Linked DNA regions of Lytechinus pictus. The protein of the gene in region 1 purifies or fractionates together with the protein of each later gene. This does not show direct contact. Links are inferred from orthologs where the notes say so. Each region holds a gene or a part of one and is shown on either strand. Other genes may lie near its edges. The genes, in order: E3 ubiquitin-protein ligase NRDP1-like, protein CLEC16A-like and calcyclin-binding protein-like.

Region 1 (8,205 bases):
TCGCTATTTTTCGGATTTCCTCTATATATATATACGACGGGAAATTGTAGCGAACTAGTTCGCTATTTTCCAGATCTCCTCTATATATATATACGACGGGAAATTGTAGCGAACTAGTTCGCTATTTTTCGGATCTCTTCTTTTGTAGCGAACTAGTTCGCTATTTTTCGGATCTCCTCTATATACGACAGAAAATTGTAGCGAACTAGTTCGCTATTTTTCGGATCTCCTCGATATATACACGAGGGGGAATTGTAGCGAACTAGTTCGCTATTTTCCAGATCTCCTCTAGATACATACTACGGGATTTGTAGCGAACTAGTTCGCTATTTTTCGGATTTCCTCTATATATATATACGACGGGAAATTGTAGCGAACTAGTTCGCTATTTTCCAGATCTCCTCTATATATATATACGACGGGAAATTGTAGCGAACTAGTTCGCTATTTTTCGGATCTCTTCTTTTGTAGCGAACTAGTTCGCTATTTTTCGGATCTCCTCTATATACGACAGAAAATTGTAGCGAACTAGTTCGCTATTTTTCGGATCTCCTCGATATATACACGAGGGGGAATTGTAGCGAACTAGTTCGCTATTTTCCAGATCTCCTCTAGATACATACTACGGGATTTGTTCGCTATTTTTCGGATTTCCTCTCCCTATATATACGACGGGAAATCATAGCGAACTAGTTCGCTATTTTCCAGATCTCCTCTTTATATATATACGACGGGAAATTATAGCGAACTAGTTCGCTATTTTTCGGATCTCTTCTTTTGTAGCGAACTAGTTCGCTATTTTTTGGATCTCCTCTTTATATATTCGTCGGCGGTCATCCGAACCGTCGTATCCACATACGACGGTTGAAAACCCATTTCAGAGAAAATCGACTTCAAAGTTACTATGATTTTCACACTTAGTTCTCCGGGCTTACAACATATTCATTGCTAGAAAAATACATGGTTGGAAAGACCAAGATAATTGCTTGACAATGGTATCCTTATCTTTGCACAAAACCAAGGATTATAGAAAATATCTCAAAAGAACTCCGTGCTTGTAATTTCGGTTTGAGTGGTTTAGATTTCCCCTGTACGAAAACGCCATAGGGAAAACAACAACCCTGACCGCGATTTGAATGCGCGCGGTCAGTCAAAACGTCGTATCGCTTTTCACGTGCAAAGTCAATGCAGCGCAGATGGCCGATACGACAGCTTGGTTGACCGCGCGCACTGAAATCGCGGTCAGTCAAAACGTCGTATCGCTCTGTTACAGTAGACGTTTCCAATGGGATTTGCGCATTTTATTAAAAAATTGTATGTCATCGCCGTGAAAATTCCATCATATCTCACAAACTAAAATAAATTGCTGCCTAGAAATTAATTTATGAATAGAATAGGACTTGTACATTAATTTTCTGCAAATATCTCAAAATCGATTTTTTGACCAAAATTGACTGATACGACGGTTCGGATGAACGCCGACGATATATACGACGGGAAATTATAGCGAACTAGTTCGCTATTTTTCGGATCTCTTCTTTTGTAGCGAACTAGTTCGCTATTTTTTGGATCTCCTCTTTATATATACGACGGAAAATTGTAGCGAACTAGTTTGCTATTTTTCGGATCTCCTCTATAAAATTTTATACACGAGGAGGAATTAGTGAACTAGTTCGCTATTTTTCTAATCTTTATATATACAAGAGACGGAATTGTAGCGAACTAGTTCGCTACAATTCCCCCTCGTGTATATAATTTTATAGAGGAGATCCGAAAAGTAGCGAACTAGTTAGCTACAAATCCCGTCGTATGGATATAGAGGAGATCTGGAAAATAGCGAACTGGTTCGCTACAATTCCCCCTCGTATATATATATAGAGGAGATCTGGAAAATAGCGAACTAGTCTGCTACAATTTGACAATATGGCATCAATATATACAGCCAAAACCTGCAGATTTTCACTTTGAAGCCTTCACAATAATGTAAGCTTTGGAAAAAATGACAACTAGTTCGCTACAATTTCCCCCTCGTGTATATGAAGAGATCAGAAAAATTGCCAACTAGTTCGCTACAGTTTGCCATGTTTATATTTTAGAGAGGAGATGAGAAATGGCGAACTAGTTTGCAACAATTTCCTGTCGTATACATGTAGAGGAGATCCGAAAAATAGCGAACTAGTTTGCTACAATTCCCCCCTGGTGTATATATAGAGGAGATCAAAAAAATAGCGAAGTAGTTCGCTACAATGCCCCCTCGTATATAGTTCGCTACAAATCCCGTAGTATGTATATAGAGGAGATCTGGAAAATAGCGAACTAGTTCGCTACAATTCCCCTTGTGTATATATCGAGGAGATCCGAAAAATAGCGAACTAGTTCGCTACAATTTCCCGTCGTTTGTATATAGAGGAGATCTGGAAAATAGCGAACTAGTTCGCTACAATTCCCCTCGTGTATATATCGAGGAGATCCGAAAAATAGCGAACTAGTTCGCTACAATTTCCCGTCGTTTGTATATAGAGGAGATCTGGAAAATAGCGAACTAGTTCGCTACAATTCCCCCTCGTATATATATATATAGAGGAGATCTGGAAATGGCGAACTAGTTCGCTACAATTTGACACGTCGTATATTATAGACTAATACAAGGAGATGGCTACAAATTTCGACGCTTATATATAAGCGTTGAAGATCGCTATATTTGCCATCTTATTATTTCCCATTGGAGCTCCAGGAGTTACCGTGTGTTTCATAGCACGATCCCAGCCGAGCCTGCGACTCTGCGAGTTAACTTCTTTACCCAAATTCGCCAAAATATAATTTTCGTTATATTTATTTATATATTTCATAATCGATGAAAACATATCATTACTAACACCAGAATAAAATTGAAATTATGAAATTTACCTACACCCAACATCCATTTCTTCGACCACGTCATTTCGTAGAGAATCAGTAAAATAGATGTTTTTACTGGCCAGTGTTTTCAGGAAATGGTTTCGTACATGTAAATCACTGAACTGGAAATACACGTATGGCATATGGGTACTCCCAACGAACGTAGAGGACAGCAACACACGGCAGTGTGTTGGGGGTTTACCCCCCCCCCCCCCCTTTGGAGCCAACTCCTTTTTTGTGCTTTTCAAATTTCTAGCTACCAAAATGACCTTCTTTTGTAGTGAACCCCCCTTTTTTTCAAATTTCTCGGTCAAATTCCCTCTTGGAAAAAAGCTAGATCCGCGCCTGCTTTATTTTCTCCTTCATTCTTGGTCGGGGGGGGGGGGGGGCTTCAGCCCCCCCCCCTCACTTTTTCCCAAAACCGTGTAAAAAAATTAAGAAATTACCATACGATTGTGATTTTTGAATGGTCAGCCCCCCCCCCCCCCACTTTGAAAACCGTTCCGCGGCCCCTGCTTTAGCCCCTGCTTTAGTGATGGACTCTCGAACATGCGCTGGGCAATGTGGGATATTTCCATTTGTACCTTTCTTCTCTCTATGTTTTTTCTTTCCCTTTTTTCTCCTCTTTCCTCCTTTTCTTTCTTTCGCTTTCTTTCTTTCTTTCTTTCTTTCTTTCTTTCCGTTCTTTCTTTCTTTCTTTCTTTCATAGAAGAAAGAAAACTAGCTTAACAGAGAGGTCTATTAACAAACCATTTCAGAAAATGGGACAAATTTATTTTTTAGGGATGCTGGGGCAAAGAAAGTTTCAAGCATACAGTTATTAAAGGGGAATCCAGCCTTGGCCATAAAATGTTGTGTTGGGAAGGAGAAAACTAAACTTAACAGAATAGTGAAAGTTTGAAAGAAATCGGACAAGCAATAAGAAAGTTATAGCTGCTTTAAAATTGAGATCACTAATAGTATGTGCATGTATAGATTTCATATTGGCAACTGAGTAAGTGAATTATGACAAGGGGCAAGGACAACTTTCCCATAGGCCATGTACTTTATTATCAGGGATTTGTGGTTTTCTCCTAAGTACCCATTCCCCTGGGGCAGTAATCTAAATATAACCCAGGTAGTATATTGTTTTATGTCCTCATGAAAGAAAAATATAATTTGAAATAAAACTTTTGGGAAAAATGACATTTTAGCCAGAATATGTATTGAAGTACATGGAAGAGTAGTCCTTGCCTTACATCACTATATATGACATCCCATATGCGGCCAATTTGAAGTCTCCATGAGTATATAGTGATTACCAATATTTACAAATTTTAAAAATTCATAACTTTCTTGTTGTTTGTCCAATATTGTTCAAACTTTCACCTATCAACTTGTCTTTTTCTTATAAAAACAAGTTTTTATTTGGGTTGGATTCCCCTTTAAACACTCTAAATGCGAGGGAGATGGTCTGGTCCCTGTAGTCGCACTCAGTCTTGGAGTGGATCGGGGCAGTCATTTTGTGGTGTGCTTTGAGTCTTTGGGGTGCATTGTGGTTCCTTCTGGAGTGAAAATGTAAAAAAAAAAATATATATATAAAAAATAGATATACGCTGTTCGCTCCAGAGCTATGGCGCGCTCTTGGGATATGGATCCCGCTTCTGGAGTTTCTATTAGTCTTTTATATCTCTCTTTGGGAGGGGTGTGATTGGGGGCCGGAGTGGCTCTTTTGCATTTAGAGTGAAGATTCAGGTGCGCAAGTTAGATCATGCATGGTTGCAGCGGTACAGAATGCAGATTGAAATGAAGGCCTTTTAGCTGGGGTTTAGGGGAGGGAAACAGGCCGCGCTTAGGCTGGGCTTGGATGGGATATGGGGGGGGGGGTGGGATGGGAGGGTGTTTTACTTCTAATACTCATTCAGTTCAATTGCGTCGCTATAAATTCTTTTTTGTTCCGGGTTTTTGTTACATTTGTATTTTTTTTTATTTTTTACAAATTTACTTTGTGATGATTTGAATGTTATATTTTGTATTTTTTTGTACAATTGTTTGTATTATGAATAATTATTTGACTTTGTGAACAGTGTTTTGTTGATATACTAGTATTACTTGTATGATTTTGAACTGAATGATTTTATAAATACTAATACAAAAAAAATGATTGGCCCCTTTTGCTTCTTCTTTTTTTTTTGATAATGAAATTTATCCCTTTTTATCTCTAATGAAATGCCCTATTCTAATACGCCCTTATAATATTGAAATGCCCCATTTATGAGCCATTTGTTCAAAATGTTTAGTCAATGATGTTCTGATGGCTTCCAGTTTCCTTTTGAACAAGTGTTCCTGATACTTTAAAGTGATGAATTTCACATATAATTATCTCGAGGAATACGAGGCTGTTCTTATTCAATACAAAACGCTGCGCAGGAGAAAACGTATATGTGTTCAATAACAGCATCATTGGTAAGAAACAATTACGAAAACAATATTCTCATTTTTATGAAGGAAAAATATTGTGAGAATAATGCCTTAAGTTTCATGAGTCATGTGAGGGGGATAGATAAGTCGTTTCCCCCCCTTTGTTTTAAGATAGTGCCCTGTCCCCCGGCCTCACGGTCGGTGGCCCCTCCCCCTTTCAACTTTGTTCTGCCGCCCCCAACTGAAAAGTGAATTTGTGGGTGTTTTTTGTTTTTTTTTTTTTTTTTTTTTTTTTTGGGGGGGGGGGCATGGGCGGAAATCCCAGGGGGGGACAGGGGGGGGGGCGTGTCCCCCCTACTCAAAATATCAAATGTCCCCCTACTATTTTTGGTCTTTTATGATGGTAAGAAATACATCATTCAAAATCAAAATAAAACATGTATTTTAGGACGAGATGACCTTACTTTTGGGATGATATCCTTTTTTTTTTTTTCTTTTTTTTTGCTTGTCAAATTTATTTTCGTCGAAATTACCTTAAACTTGGGGTGATAACGTTTTTTTTTTTGCTTGTCAAATTTTCCAGCCCCTTGTCCCCCTACCTTTTGGGAGAGATTTCCGCCTCGGGGGGGGGGGGGGGGGTATACTCCCCTTGCTTCCCTAGGATTGACCTCGAATCTCCGTACAATCATTGGTTGTTCCGCTCCGGCTCCCGCTGCATGCATTGTTGGCTATACACTTGATCTGTGATAGAAAATGTCAGAATTTGTTATTTTTTTAAATACTACCAGAATTAACAGACGGTTATTTCCTGTTGAAGTTTGACTGAAAAAATATTATTCAATAGGTATAGAAACAGTTCTGCCAAATTATTTTGTTGAATATTTCTTACAAATGTTAAGACCCCGGGGGAGGGTACTGGGGGGGATGGAAATAAGGCATACGGGGATGTACCGAGAATGGGTCGCCTTTTTTTAGTCCCTAAACATGGGGTACGGTTTTATGCTGGAAAATCCCTAAACATGGCCCTAATTTTTAGATACTGGCCTTAAGCATGGGTCCATATTCTCCTCCAATGTCTTAGGTGCAAATATTCCTGCAAATCCTGGATCAAGGCATTTGGAGGAACTAAAAGGAAGTACTTTGAAATCCCCCTGATTTGAAACTTCGTTAGAATTTTGTTCATTCATTGGTCCTATTGTAGATACCTTATCGAGAATCAATTCCGATATATCTGACGAAAATGGGTGACCCGACTGGAAACGAGACGGATTTTCAAACCACTGATACATCCGAAACGCCTCAAGAAAATGGAATGGAAACTAATCAAGAGTAAGAGTCGTGAAGTAGAATTTGCTTTTATATTATGTAAAACTTTCACAGCAATTGACTGTGTTGTTATTTTAGTTCGCATTTTATGGTTACGGTCTGGTCCCTGTGTCGCGCACTCGGATCGGGCTGCCACATAGAAGTTGAATGTGTGTCATGTGTGTGATTGTCGTTAGGGAGCATGTGCATGTTTCTAGATCTTTCTAGGCCGACGGGATCCGTGAGATCTTGTACCAACTACTGGTATGTTGGACCGATCCGCGGGGGGGGGGGGGGGGGGGGGGGCACTCACATATATAGGTGTTACAACTTACAGGGACGTGTAGACCAAAAGCTTGGGTCTCTGTTATGTTGGTTGTTCCGCTGAACTCTGCGTTGGCTCCACTCACATCACACAGAGACCGAAGTTCTAGCTCGATCTGTACAGCCTACACGTACACTTTCTTCAGGGACAATGGCAATGGCCATATATGTTTATTTATGTATTTAAGTTCGGATAAAACAGCTAACAGGGAAGTGAAGTTGCGCGACAGCCAAAGTAAATCACTGTTTTATCCCCTTTTAAGTTTATTTTCCCCCATTTTGGTGCCTTTCAGGCCAAAACTGAATAATATAATAATCTTCATTTTGGTACATTTCTTTTTATATATTTTTATGAAATAAAGACAAAAATTGATGAGCCCCGTCGGGGGGATTTTTGCATTGTTAACCCCTAATGGTGGCTGCACGATAGAGAGCCGTCTGTGTACGAGGAGAAAAAAAAAATTAAAATGTTTTTGTGCAAAGTCTTAAGCAATATCATAAAGAACAAAACTAAAATAGTTACCACTATTGAATTCATATTTTTTGTGCAATCCAAAGACAAAAAAAGAAGGTTTCAAAATTTTAAAATGTCTGGACACCGGACCCCCCCCCCATTCCTACAATAGGCTTGACTCACTTTGTTACGATGTAGCTACATGTACGATGAGCTACGTTATGAGGTGTCGTTTTGGAGAACAATTTATAGAAGAATTATTAGGTCTATTTAAAGGACAAGTCCACCCCAATAAAATATTGATTTGAATAAAAAGAGAAAAATCGAACAAGCATAACACTGAAAATTTCATCAAAAACGGATGTAAAATAAGAAAGTTACGACATTTTAAAGTTTTGCTTAATTTTACAAAACAGTTATATGCACATCCTGGTGGGTATGCAAATGAGGAGACTGATGATGTCATCCACTCACTATTTCTTTTGTATTTCATTATATGAAATGGGGAATATTCTATTTTTCTCCTCATTGTCAAGTGAAACAAATACAATGATTAATTCCTCTCTGAACATGTGGAATGAGCATTGATTGATACTATATGATTCAGTCAAGTTGGTCCTTATTGTCAAATCTACAATAAATGAAATATTGTATAATTCAAACAATAAACAAAAGAAATAGTGAGTGAGGGACATCATCGACTTTCTCATTTGAGTTGTGCATATCACTGTTTTGTGAAAAATAAGCAAAACTTTAAAGTGTCACAACTTTCTTATTTTCCATCCGATTTTGATGAAATTTTCAGCGATTTGCTAGTTTTATTT
Region 2 (7,227 bases), on another chromosome or scaffold:
AATCATTTGTGTGCTATGGGAGAATGTTTCACATCACATCTATAGATAAGTGAAGAGCATATAACATGATACAGTATCCTTGCTTGCAGACAAAAAAAAAAGCAAGGACTTTACTACAAGGGACTGAAAATTTATACTGAACACCTTCCTGCATCAGCCATCTGAAAGATCAATATTAACAGCAGTATGAAAGACACAAAGGCTACAAACTTACCTCATTGTAGAAGAAGTGGATGGTATGTTTGTTGAGCTTGAAGGATAGAGTCTTCAAGAAGGAGATGTAGTATGCTAGCACCTGAAGCAGAGAAAGAATGAAAATCAAAATCAGAGCGCTGTATGATCCAGGAATAAGATAAATACAAACTTTGGTGGGTGTTTCATAGCTGTTAGTTACGCACAACTTCAGACTTGTGACATGGTCTCGTGCTGAAATTTTCTTGTTTAGATAGTGGTAGTAAATTTCAATAATTAAATGAAAAAGTGCACTTGGCATTCAGATGCTTGTTATCAACATGAATTTGAATCGAAATAGATTGGATTTTAACTTCGCAATGAATCACAATCTTTGAGAACCTTTATACGTAATAGCACATAATAACAGGCAACCAGTCACATGTATTATAGTCATTCAAAACTTACAAACAGCTTCATGAAATATCTTGTGGGTTGTAAAGCCTCACAAGGTGGTTCAATTGGGACTCCAAAGTAGTAAGGCATGACATATTTTTGTGAATTTGATTATGAATGATAGAGGCTTTGTCATTTCTATTGTGTTAAATATGCTTAACTTTTTTAGTGCTTTTCCTGACCAAGTTTTAATATCTTATCATAATCAATACTTAATTTGCAAAGCTTGTTGTTGATCACTTTTCTTACCATTGCAATGCCAGTTACAAAATTATCTCATGATCTACACATGGCTATTGTAGACAGGAAATATAAACCAAGATTGCAAAGAAAATATATAATATACATAATACTCAATATTTCATTTCAAAAAAGAAAAAAAAAACTATGCATACAACTGACATTTTTTGCCAAACATTTGTTTGCTCACTTTGTATTGGAGTCTGCAAATATATTTGTTTTAAAACAGAAATGACACCATACATCACATTACAGATATTAAGGGAATAGCATATAAAATGAAACATTATCCTCAATATGAAGTAGATTGCATGTAGAGATGGAGTAACATATGATTAGGGTAACTTACTTCCTCATCGGAGAAGTCAAACTTGTGGACGATGATTGAGTTGACATGGTTATTGGACAGAAGATAATCTGATAAATTCACAAGAAAAAAAACTCAATTATTATTTTCTTGTTTTTTTTTTAAGTTATATTTTATGTACAAGTAAAAAGATAAAGGAACAGAGGGCAAATTAAAAATCATCATATCATTTGCCTGTCTCCTTTATATATCATTCATAACTAAGATTAATTATAATTGTATATTTTCATGTTCCATAATACATGAATGTACACATGATCAAGATGGCAAATCAAAACTAGATTGTACTACCTCCATTTTCACATTTACAATGTGTTTATGTCACTGATTTTGTTCATTCCTCTGAGGTGTTGAATTATTGTTTTAGCAGCCCAAACATGGAGTAGTGTGTGCAGTGCTTTGTAACCAAAAGGAAAAAAGGTCCTACATCAAATGACTACTGGATTGGATTGCATCATTATGTTACATGTTTGTTTGTGCTTTTTTTAAATCAATTCAATAAGTTGTAATAAATGCAACAATATATCCTCAAACTCAAAATATTCTAAAGTGTGTACTAAAATCTCGTATACGTACTGAAAATATGTGTCCATCGTAAATTGCTGATCTGCCACCCCCATTATCTACTTTCCCTTGCATCCATCCTACATGGTCTAATCCTTGTTTGTCTACAACCAGTTCATCTTCTAACTATTTGGTCTAATTGCCATTTAGTCTAATTTCCAGTTAGGACATAGTCTACCCATTTCATCTGATATCTAGTATTAATACCACTTTGGTCTAATATGGTTAGATGAAAATGATCATGAGCCAAATTATCATCACAGTAATAAGCAGACGATTTTACTACTCAGTGGACATGAGACTGTGTAGTGTAAAACCAAGTGGCAACTAGACCACTACAACAGTCTAATTGCAAGTTGCAAGCCCAGCGCTTTCCCCCACGTCCGCACGTACTCCACAAGTACCGCCGCACACCGAGTGAACACTCACTCCTGAAGACGGACAGTCAACCTGCCCGAAATGTCGAGTCTCTACTGCTTCTACTCATCATCTCTACTCGCCGACTTAAGCCAGCATCTCCTCATCCATCCTACTACTCAAGCTGTTTTCAACTCATCAATCTCTTCTGGTTTACAGTCCTTTTCAGGACTACATTCAAGAAAGGTTACTCTACTCTCAAATTTCCACTTTCTCGCCTATCCATTTCTTTTCTTCTTCTATCCACTGTTTCTATAACACTCCACATGGTGTACCGTAAACCACATCAGCGATTGTACATGCCACCATGCAAACCTTCAAACAACATCTAGACCAAATTGATATAGCAGACCAAACACATGTTAATGTAGTATTAGAATATCTGAGAAGCAGAGCAACTGCTGGTACTGGTAGACATAGTTTACTCTTATATTAGGCTGTCAACCTTATATTCACTATATTATATAAAAATATTTAAAAACTCACATAAGGATGTTTCATTTCGTATATTCTCAAAGAGGATGTTAAGAGTCTGGAGAAGCTGAACACAGATGTAGCTTCCTGTCTTCTGTCGTAAAATCTTCAAGAAAAACAACAACATGTTTTTCTCCAAGAAGAAACTGTAAGGAATGAATAAAGAAGAAGTTATTTTCACTATTATAATGTCACTACACTTATGACAATGGAATTAATAATAACCTTCACAAATTAGAGATGTAGAAAAAATGGGAAAGAAATGCATTAGGTTACTTTTTTTTTACTCAAGCCCTGCACACTCCAACTCTGCACATCTGATTTGTCGACTAAAAACCTATTCCTCTCCTAATATTAATTTGACAGCTGAATACTTCGAAAGTCATTATTTTCTTCATTCTCCTTACAAATTTTCTTGCTCCCATTTGGAACCAAACTTACTCAAAGACGGAGCTGTCATTCTGATCTCCCCAGATGAGGATCTCTGACATGGATCTCAATGTCTCCACCAGGAGGCTTCTGTTTTGCTCTGTTACCGTGGCATTCCGCATCAGTACTCCATGGAGCAGCCTACAGAACAAACAAAGAAAAATGTACATCTATCATATATTTTTTTACCTTGTACTATTTTTTAAATAATGCCCACTATGATCACCATTATCACAAGAAAACAATAATCTACAATGTCACTTTTTCATAAGCTCAGTAAGACCAGAAGAAACAAAACAGATTCCTTCCTGCATTAAAAAATGCACATGTATATTTCTCATCTTGCCATTTTAGAATTTCAATCAACAGCAGGCCTACCTCCGCAGCACTTGGCAAACATACATGTAAACTTAATTTTATAATTTATTCAAAGAGAATGTTAATAGATCTATGCTTTCATTGTGATGTCATAAATCTCAGCTTGGCCAATTTCAAGACATAAAAAATACATGAATGCATACATGTTGTTTGATACTGTACATTAAAAATAATTTGATACAATATTTCAATACTGATTTCTGCTTATGAGAAATTGCATTGAACAGCACTGCAATCAGGCCTGTATGTGTTTATTTTAAAGCCATGTCCCCTCTTTCTGCAGAAGAGGTACTGGCAGCTTGTCCAAATAAAGGAATCTCTAAGGTATAGATTGTAATAAACAGAGTGTGATAACAAAATCTGAGGGCATTATTAAATATTCAGGGAGAACGTTCCAAGAGATTGGGAGAAAGAGAGTGATGATGCATGATTGGTGGAAGAGGGATGGCGATAGATATACATACTGTAATTTTGTAAATGATTTAATGGAGTAATATGATACATGTGTCACATAAGGAGCTATTAACATTGCATGCATAATCAATGATACTTCACAAAATTGAGTCTTTTAAGGGACAATATCCTAGATTTCATGATCGATTGGATTTACATATTGATAGAATATTTTCTTAATTAAAACTGTCTCATCATAAAAAGGGGAGGTATGACAGAAAGAAGAGGGTGGGGATACAAATCCAATCTAAAAAAAATAAATCTTTAACAGCAATCTTGATTCATGATCACCATGGACATCATCATTAAGGTCATCACCATCCTCCTCCAAAATCAATCACATCAACGTTCTGATTGTCATATCATCAACATCATTATCATCATCATCATCACCACCACCATCATCATCATCATCACCACCACCATCACCATGCACTACTACCACCATGATCATAATCATCATCATCACCATGATCATAACCACCATCAATCTAAATTCATGATCACCGTGGACATTATCATCAAGACCATCACCATCCTCCTCTTAATCAATCAATAACATCAACATCATCATCATCAACATCATCACCACCACCATCATCATGATCATCAACAACTTCAACATCATCATTATCACCTTCATATCATTAATGTCATTATCTTCATCTTCACCATCACCACCACCATCTCATTTGTCACAACCATCATCACCACTCCATCTACCTTCACTATCTCTCAACAAACTCTTGTCACTCCAAGCAGAATAAATCTGATCATCTTTCTCACTCCTAATCACGATGCGCTGCATAATATCAGTATTCAATCTATTCATCTGCAGCTACCCTCAGGTACAAGAAAGGAAATCCTTTATTCGCATCCATTATAAGCCCTGCAAATCACATGGCAATGCCGAGGGTACCATGTAAAATCAATATCTCTCAGCTCAGGCTGAATGGTACAAGACTTTATCATTTTAAAGAAGCACTCTACACGTACATGCATGTAGAATGCATAATATGAAGATTATTAAAACTTAATTGAAACAAGCTCCAACCATGTTCATCTACCACAAATCAATGGGGGAAATTTGTGATATTTAAACTTTACAAATAGTTTCCTTTTTTTTCTCGACAGTACTGCCTGTTTCATGTATGTTTATCAAAACTAATATGTACTATAAACCATGGGGCAATTTTACCAGCTAAATTCATTTTTCAATCACAAATTGATAAATTTCGATGCTTGATCACACTTCACACAAAGTACTGTATATACATGTATGTAATGTAGGCCTAGATGTTCAAAACAGATCAAGGTGTTTGAAAGTGATTAACAGAAAAAGTCCTTATATAAATCAGCAATAACTGTTTTCTTCCCTTTACAAGGCAAACACTCAATTATCAAAAACTGAAAACAAAATAAACACCAATATTCAGACAAACTGAGATTCCCACACCCTACCCGATTCTTTAGGCCTCCGATTTGCCTGCATTGTACTTTGGCCAATAATTCCTGGGTCAAATCAATTCATTATTGATGAAAAATATCACTTCCACGGAGGACAGTGATTTGAGATTCAATATTCAAGTAGGCATCGGATTAATGTAGGATGTCATAAAGCTTGGATCATTACATATTCATTGATCTGAAACATAATTCAGAATTCTTCCCCCTCAAGATAGCATACGGTGTAAAGTGATTTTCTAACACAAAAAAAGTGACCTGTATGACTCCAATGAGCATGAATTTGCTTGATGTTTGACTTTCATGTTCTTTCATATCCCTAATTTCTTACTTCTATTCTTTTTCTAAAAAAAAATATTTTCAATGAAATAATTAGGTCAAAATAGCTAAATTTTATCACAACAAGGTAAAATGGAAAATGTTACTTCATCCAGTAAAATCTGACCAAATTTGAAGGATATGTGAAAAAAACCCAATACTTTGATCGATGTCTTATCAGGTTACCATTGTGATGCAGCAAGGTGCCTGGTAGAAATTCATGTTTACATTGCTCCGTGCTCTGCTAGGGTTGTACACACATAATCAATGAATGTGTAGACTACCAGCATACGTATAGAGAATGTTGGGTAGAAAATCTGCCCCAGAACTTGAATCATAATATATACACTATACATGCAGTTATGCCTCTCTATTTCACAAAACTCCAGTATTCCCTTCTCCATATAAAATCTTTAACACACGATCAGGAAGAGGAAAAGTAACATCCGACAATAACAAGTGGAACGACTCTGGCAGTCTCGCCTGCATTACGCAATGCGATATAGCAGCAGTGCTTCTTTTGAAAATAGCTAATGAATATTATTCACAGAAAAAAACACTAATATGATAATAAAATATTATGCCCATTGACCCAAAATGACCTTTGACCATGAGACCAAAGACATGTGCAAAACAATCATTCATACTTGATAACTAGGTCCATATACTTTTTAAGTTATGATGAAATTTCAAAAATTTAACCTTGGTTAAAGTTGAATTAAGAAGACGATTCCAAATATTGAGATATTTACATTAATAGCAACCTTACAACCCCCCAAACACTAAGAGGTGATTCGACCCCCCATTTTCTTTTTTCAAAATAGTGAATTTGAACGATTTATCCCTACCCATTTTCCCTGAGTTGGCTCCTGCAATGCCTACCGAGACGGGTGTTCTTTGACTGTGACGTCACGGGGGTCCCGTTGTAGTAAACAAGGCAGTGCCGTTTTGTGTACTATGCAAGTACGCCTTCATATTTACTTTTGTGTCAAATTTCATTTTATCGCTATTGATTTTATGTGAACGATACTGAAAGGAAGTAATAATTATTCAAAGACATATAGTCAATAATATATCCCTACATTGTTAAAACTGTTCTTCTTTGTAGCGATTTTAGACGATTTTAATGCCTTGTTTACGTTCGGGACTGTGTCCGTGGCGAAACTAGTCATAATGGAATAAACTGCAGTTGAAGTTGTATCTGCGAGCCGGAGAACTTGCAAAGAGGAAATGATTAAAAGTATATTTATGGCCGTACTATTATTCCAAATATGTAAATTCCCTCAGAATGATACCATAGACCCTAAAGGAATAATTTCAAGGCGAATAATATGAAATGCGATCGAGATCTTCTCACCAGTCGATAACATAGCAGACGTGTTATTATGACATATTTATCCGCGTGTGACGCGGCTCTTGCAAAAAATACGGTTGGTTGCGGAATCGCATTGTGCCGACCGGCCGCCCGCTCCGGCTCAGCTAGCTGTCGAGCTACC
Region 3 (7,296 bases), on another chromosome or scaffold:
TCAGTGATACTTGATTACTATTATGTCCAAGTTTCATGAATCAGATCCATAAACTTTCAAAGTTATGATGGTAATTCAACAGATACCCCCAATTCGGCCAAAGTTCATTGACCCTAAATGACCTTTGACCTTGGTCATGTGATGTGAAACTCATGCAGGATGTTTAGTGATACTTGATTAACCTTATGTATAAGTTTCATGAACTAGGTCCATATATTTTCTAAGTTATGATGACATTTCAAAAACTTAACCTTAGGTTAAGATTTTGATGTTGATTCCCCCAACATGGTCTAAGTTCATTGACCCTAAATGACCTTTGACCTTGGTCATGTGACATGAAACTCAGGCAGGATGTTCAGTAATACTTGATTAACCTTATGGCCAAGTTTCATGAACTAGGTCCATACACTTTCTAAGTTATGCTGTCATTTCAAAAACTTAACCTCAGGTTAAGATTTGGTGTTGACGCCGCCGCCGCCGCCGTCGGAAAAGCGGCGCCTATAGTCTCACTCTGCTATGCAGGTGAGACAAAAATTAAGTAGTGCAAAGGTGAATTCATTTAAAGTTTATTATGGAAATAGCAGAAAAAAATAATTTGAAAAATTGGTATGTGTTCGAGGAAAATCCATCCCCCACCCAAAAAAAAAAATTCAAGGTGAGATTTTAAAAAATATTATTTGTGACGGCGTAGGCCTATGCGAGCAGCTTTAGGATATAATTATGGTAAAAAAAAGTAAATGAAATGTCAAGAAATACATGATAATGACTTTTATTGTACATTCAGTATTTCAATAGATAACTTCATACCCCTACTCGTTCCAAAAAGAAAAAAAGTGGGTCATTACGGACCTTTAAAAATGGGAAATTTTGGCATTTTATATTACATAGAATATAGAGCAACTGTTTGTTTATGGCGTCACAAATCAAGCATTTGAAATTCTATTAACTCCAATTTAAAAAAAAAAATAACACCTTCACCGATATTTTGAAATTATTTTTCTTATTATCGCAATATTTTTATCAAGGTGAAATTCCCCTTTAATTTACAAAACAGTATCAGCATGATCAGTGTGAAGCGGTAAAGCATTCACCTGATAAGTATAGACCTATCTATAATTCATGCGGCACGCAGCGCGTGCGGCAATGTTTAATAACATATTGCTGTGAATAGAATGAATGTCATTAAAAACATAATCTCACAGATCAAATAATGCCAGCTCGACGCTCGAGCTGAAAAAATGTATTTTGTGCCCTGATAATTTTTAACCCTAACCTAACCCAATTTCTAAGTATTTTTTCATCATAAACGGGATAACTATAGACAATTGATTGAAAACTTTATATTCTTTTGCGGAAATGAATATGAAGGACAACTTTTCAGAACACAGCCCGGAACACAGTTTTGGAGCGTTAGAGTGCGATTTATACGGATTTATACCTACAACCGCTAAATCCTCATGAAGCAGTTGGAACATTTAGTCCTGATTCAATCAGCTTAATAATTTTTGCAACAGGCGCCAGTCCAACAAACAGACAAACATTTGCCCAAACGGACAACATCTTAACCTCTGCTCATTTCTTTTTGCACGGGCACATAAAATCTCGACCTACCCATCACTTTTCTCACTATTTTCTCCTCCCTTTTATTTTCCATTAATTTATCTTTCGTTCACTTTATTTCTGTCCTCTTTTCCCTTCTATTTTTTTCTTGTCTCATTGCTTTTCCTCATCCCCCAGCCCCCGACGCCCGTGCAGATTCGCAAACAATATCAAGAGTAGTGTTAGGCAAGGGTGGAAATCTCTCCCCAAAGGTAGGGGGACTAGGGGCTGGAAAATTTGACAAGCCAAAAAAAAAAAAAGGTTTATCACCCCAATTAAAAGAAGGTCATCTTGACCAAAAGAAATTTGACAAGCAAACAAGCCCCCCCCCAAAAAAAAAGGGCACCCCAAAAGTAAGATCGTCTCTTCCAAAATACATGTTTTATTTCGATTTTGAATTAAAAGACCAAAAATAGTAGAGGGGCATTTCATAATGTGCCCCCGACTATTTTGGGTGAGGGGGACATGGGAATTGCGCCCATGTGGGTGGGGGTGATGCGCCTCTCTTTCGGAATCATTATGGAAGAGTGTAAATACGAGTTCGCTGTGATTTCGATCTCATAGTCATAGTATTCATACCTATAAAAAAAAAATAGAACAGCTACGCCTTGAACACACAGGCAAAAATGCCTAGCGATTTCTCCGCGGCATTAACAACTCTCGTAAGGGGCGCTCCATTTATAAATAAAGTTGCATATGTAGCTGTCTACCGCGACAGGAGCAGTTGCAGAATTGAAGCCAGAAGCGTGGGAAATTGCCAGAAAATTCAAGAAAAGAACCGGTGGGTACCGATTTAACAGTACTAATTTATTAAGTAACATTTATTGAATCATAAGATTAGAATATTTATTTTTTAGTAAAACAAAGCTTAGTTCTAAGCTAGGGCGCCCCAAATGCGTGTGAGTGGAGTCCCAGTTTATTAACACGGGTAAGTATTGGGGTGTCGCCTAGAGTGGCCTAAGCCCTAACGTACGTTAGATTGGGTCTAACGTTAGCGGCCTATTTATCATGTCTATTTATTTGGCACACTGACTAGTTTCTAGTAAATTCATAATGATGTATGTAAGGAACGTTCCCAACTGAAACAAGATTTTGTGAAATAAAAATAAATTCAAGTTAAATCTTAACTCAAATCCGTTAGGTGCAAAGACCACCATCAATCATATACATCCTGATCCAAAAAATCACGGAACCGTGATAACTAGCCATTCACTTGCACGCGTAATTAATTACACACGATGAAGAATCGGTAAGCCGACATGGCTCGGTGGAGTGTGGGAATTCCCCATTATCCGATATATTGCGCAACGCGAATGTATCGTGCAATTGTAAATCAATGCCCGAAAAAGCACCGTCAAACGAATGGTCGCTCCTCTAATAAAATACCTTTACTTTAGTCTCAAGTAGCCAAATTATAAAAGTAATATATCTCTACCTCACTAGCCATCTTGACAAAAACTTCAGAAGATTCGTACGTTGTCGTAATGTTGCAAGTATAAACCCTCGCCTCGAGATATAGATATATATATATAGATGCACGTTTTAATTCTACGATCGCTGATTAGTCTTTCTTCAAAGGGCTAAGGGCGTCGAGATTCCTGACAAAAAGTTTATTGTAAGAATAGCGGAAAAATATTCGAAATATTGGTGCATGTGTATAGATTATAGATATATTAAATATTTTAAAAAGTTATCAATTTAATATGCGTATTTTTTTTTCATTTGTGACTTCACAGGTGATGATCGAGCCCCGGATCGAGCAGTCTCCCCCATTAGCTGCTGCAGAAGCACTAATAGGCCTACTATAGTTCATTACATGAGTATATATCTCTATGGTTCATTATAACTTCCTTCAATTCAAATATTCTTACATGGTAGCTGAAAAAATAATAACAAGTTAAAATAGATTGTCAACGTTATTTGAGTTGTAAATCACGTCATCTACATTACAGAGTAGAGAAATTAACAAAAGAAGGAAAGAGTGAATATATAAGAATTTGAATGAAAAAGACTGACAGTAATGAAAAGGAAAAGAGATAGGGATTTAAATTCAAAAATTGTTTTATTTTCCGCTTTCAATTTCAAATTCATATTTACAATAGTATTATGATGAAGAATATACAAACATTGATAACATTACAACATTACCAATGATAAGGGATTGAGGGCTAACTGGAAATTAAGGGAGAAAAGTTAAGTTTTGAATGAAATATATGTGAAAAGCAAGTTTGATCTTTTTTGAGTCCGGGTTATATGAGCAAGGAGAAATTTTCATGTAGTGCTCATTTCGAGACCATTTTTTTTTTTCATACGAGGTAAACAGGCTGCATAGTCCTGGAAATTATCTGTGTGGGCGTTTTTAACAAATATTTAATAAATTATATTATATTCTTAATTAAGTACCGCGGTATATTATTTTTAGTTCAAGAAAACAGGGAATATTGCCAAACGTACAGAAAGTGACACATTTGATTAAAGGACAAGTCCACCCCAACAAAAACTTGATTTGAATAAAAAGAGAAAAATTCAACAAGCATAACACTGAAAATTTCATCAAAATCGGATGTAAAATAAAAAAGTTATGGCATTTTAAAGTTTCGCTTATTTTCAACAAAATAGTTATATGAACGAGCCAGTTACATCCAAATGAGAGAGTTGATGACATCACTCACTCACTATTTCTTTTGTATTGTATTATATGAAATATGAAATATTTTTATTTTCTCGACATTGTCATGTGAAATGAAGTTTCATTCCTCCCTGAACTCGTGGGATTCCATTATTTTAACATTTTGTGCTTCAGGCAAGGAGGTCCTAATCGTCAAATTCGTAAAAATTGAAATATTGTATAATTCAAACAATAAAAAACAAAAGAAATAGTGAGTGAGTGACATCATCGACTCTCTCATTTGGGTGTAACTGGCTCGTTCATATAACTATTTTGTTGAAAATAAGCGAAACTTTGAAATGTCATAACTTTCTTATTTTACATTCGATTTTGATGAAATTTTCAGCATTGTGCTTGTCTGATTTTTCTCTATTAATTCAAATCAACATTGTTCTGAGGTGAACTTGACCTTTAAAGAATATAGAGATACGGAATATCAAATAGAGTTTAAAATTAGGGGAAGCTGATGGGGTGCACTTAAGAAAATGGGAACAAATCAATGCATATACCTTTCTTAATACTATGGATGTGTTGGTTAATTGCTTCATTTTTGTTTTAGTTTTGTTTATTTGTTCAAATACAGATAGTTGTACCAGGGCAGAATGTATCGTGTATGGATACATGTGTAGATGGATGTGTTATTTGAGTTGTAAATCACGTCATCTACATTACAGAGTAGAGAAATTAACAAAAGAAGGAAAGAGTGAATATATAAGAATTTGAATGAAAAAGACTGACAGTAATGAAAAGGAAAAGAGATAGGGATTTAAATTCAAAAATTGTTTTATTTTCCGCTTTCAATTTCAAATTCATATTTACAATAGTATTATGATGAAGAATATACAAACATTGATAACATTACAACATTACCAATGATAAGGGATTGAGGGCTAACTGGAAATTAAGGGAGAAAAGTTAAGTTTTGAATGAAATATATGTGAAAAGCAAGTTTGATCTTTTTTGAGTCCGGGTTATATGAGCAAGGAGAAATTTTCATGTAGTGCTCATTTCGAGACCATTTTTTTTTTTCATACGAGGTAAACAGGCTGCATAGTCCTGGAAATTATCTGTGTGGGCGTTTTTAACAAATATTTAATAAATTATATTATATTCTTAATTAAGTACCGCGGTATATTATTTTTAGTTCAAGAAAACAGGGAATATTGCCAAACGTACAGAAAGTGACACATTTGATTAAAGGACAAGTCCACCCCAACAAAAACTTGATTTGAATAAAAAGAGAAAAATTCAACAAGCATAACACTGAAAATTTCATCAAAATCGGATGTAAAATAAAAAAGTTATGGCATTTTAAAGTTTCGCTTATTTTCAACAAAATAGTTATATGAACGAGCCAGTTACATCCAAATGAGAGAGTTGATGACATCACTCACTCACTATTTCTTTTGTATTGTATTATATGAAATATGAAATATTTTTATTTTCTCGACATTGTCATGTGAAATGAAGTTTCATTCCTCCCTGAACTCGTGGGATTCCATTATTTTAACATTTTGTGCTTCAGGCAAGGAGGTCCTAATCGTCAAATTCGTAAAAATTGAAATATTGTATAATTCAAACAATAAAAAACAAAAGAAATAGTGAGTGAGTGACATCATCGACTCTCTCATTTGGGTGTAACTGGCTCGTTCATATAACTATTTTGTTGAAAATAAGCGAAACTTTGAAATGTCATAACTTTCTTATTTTACATTCGATTTTGATGAAATTTTCAGCATTGTGCTTGTCTGATTTTTCTCTATTAATTCAAATCAACATTGTTCTGAGGTGAACTTGACCTTTAAAGAATATAGAGATACGGAATATCAAATAGAGTTTAAAATTAGGGGAAGCTGATGGGGTGCACTTAAGAAAATGGGAACAAATCAATGCATATACCTTTCTTAATACTATGGATGTGTTGGTTAATTGCTTCATTTTTGTTTTAGTTTTGTTTATTTGTTCAAATACAGATAGTTGTACCAGGGCAGAATGTATCGTGTATGGATACATGTGTAGATGGATGTGTTATTTGAGTTGTAAATCACGTCATCTACATTACAGAGTAGAGAAATTAACAAAAGAAGGAAAGAGTGAATATATAAGAATTTGAATGAAAAAGACTGACAGTAATGAAAAGGAAAAGAGATAGGGATTTAAATTCAAAAATTGTTTTATTTTCCGCTTTCAATTTCAAATTCATATTTACAATAGTATTATGATGAAGAATATACAAACATTGATAACATTACAACATTACCAATGATAAGGGATTGAGGGCTAACTGGAAATTAAGGGAGAAAAGTTAAGTTTTGAATGAAATATATGTGAAAAGCAAGTTTGATCTTTTTTGAGTCCGGGTTATATGAGCAAGGAGAAATTTTCATGTAGTGCTCATTTCGAGACCATTTTTTTTTTCATACGAGGTAAACAGGCTGCATAGTCCTGGAAATTATCTGTGTGGGCGTTTTTAACAAATATTTAATAAATTATATTATATTCTTAATTAAGTACCGCGGTATATTATTTTTAGTTCAAGAAAACAGGGAATATTGCCAAACGTACAGAAAGTGACACATTTGATTAAAGGACAAGTCCACCCCAACAAAAACTTGATTTGAATAAAAAGAGAAAAATTCAACAAGCATAACACTGAAAATTTCATCAAAATCGGATGTAAAATAAAAAAGTTATGGCATTTTAAAGTTTCGCTTATTTTCAACAAAATAGTTATATGAACGAGCCAGTTACATCCAAATGAGAGAGTTGATGACATCACTCACTCACTATTTCTTTTGTATTGTATTATATGAAATATGAAATATTTTTATTTTCTCGACATTGTCATGTGAAATGAAGTTTCATTCCTCCCTGAACTCGTGGGATTCCATTATTTTAACATTTTGTGCTTCAGGCAAGGAGGTCCTAATCGTCAAATTCGTAAAAATTGAAATATTGTATAATTCAAACAATAAAAAACAAAAGAAATAGTGAGTGAGTGACATCATCGACTCTCTCATTTGGGTGTA

The links.
Region 2: the proteins of E3 ubiquitin-protein ligase NRDP1-like (region 1) and protein CLEC16A-like purify together in Homo sapiens (affinity purification with mass spectrometry; 3 studies listed by BioGRID and IntAct, with this or other methods). This does not show direct contact. The link is inferred for Lytechinus pictus from reciprocal best matches to the Homo sapiens genes RNF41 and CLEC16A.
Region 3: the proteins of E3 ubiquitin-protein ligase NRDP1-like (region 1) and calcyclin-binding protein-like purify together in Homo sapiens (affinity purification with mass spectrometry; 4 studies listed by BioGRID and IntAct, with this or other methods). This does not show direct contact. The link is inferred for Lytechinus pictus from reciprocal best matches to the Homo sapiens genes RNF41 and CACYBP.

Annotation. Positions count from the first base shown.
Region 1 is NC_087245.1:11,896,569-11,904,773, reverse strand, and holds the start of E3 ubiquitin-protein ligase NRDP1-like, read right to left. Parts: upstream 3,033-8,205; 5' UTR 2,912-3,032; intron 1-2,911. UniProt on the Homo sapiens protein: Acts as E3 ubiquitin-protein ligase and regulates the degradation of target proteins. Polyubiquitinates MYD88. Negatively regulates MYD88-dependent production of pro-inflammatory cytokines.
Region 2 is NC_087254.1:30,668,434-30,675,660, reverse strand, and holds the start of protein CLEC16A-like, read right to left. Parts: upstream 3,255-7,227; 5' UTR 3,241-3,254; coding exon 3,131-3,240; intron 2,836-3,130; coding exon 2,702-2,835; intron 1,285-2,701; coding exon 1,217-1,284; intron 296-1,216; coding exon 215-295; intron 1-214. UniProt on the Homo sapiens protein: Regulator of mitophagy through the upstream regulation of the RNF41/NRDP1-PRKN pathway. Mitophagy is a selective form of autophagy necessary for mitochondrial quality control.
Region 3 is NC_087252.1:32,822,107-32,829,402, forward strand, and holds the start of calcyclin-binding protein-like, read right to left. Parts: upstream 3,157-7,296; 5' UTR 3,047-3,156; coding exon 3,035-3,046; intron 1-3,034. UniProt on the Homo sapiens protein: May be involved in calcium-dependent ubiquitination and subsequent proteasomal degradation of target proteins. Probably serves as a molecular bridge in ubiquitin E3 complexes. Participates in the ubiquitin-mediated degradation of beta-catenin (CTNNB1).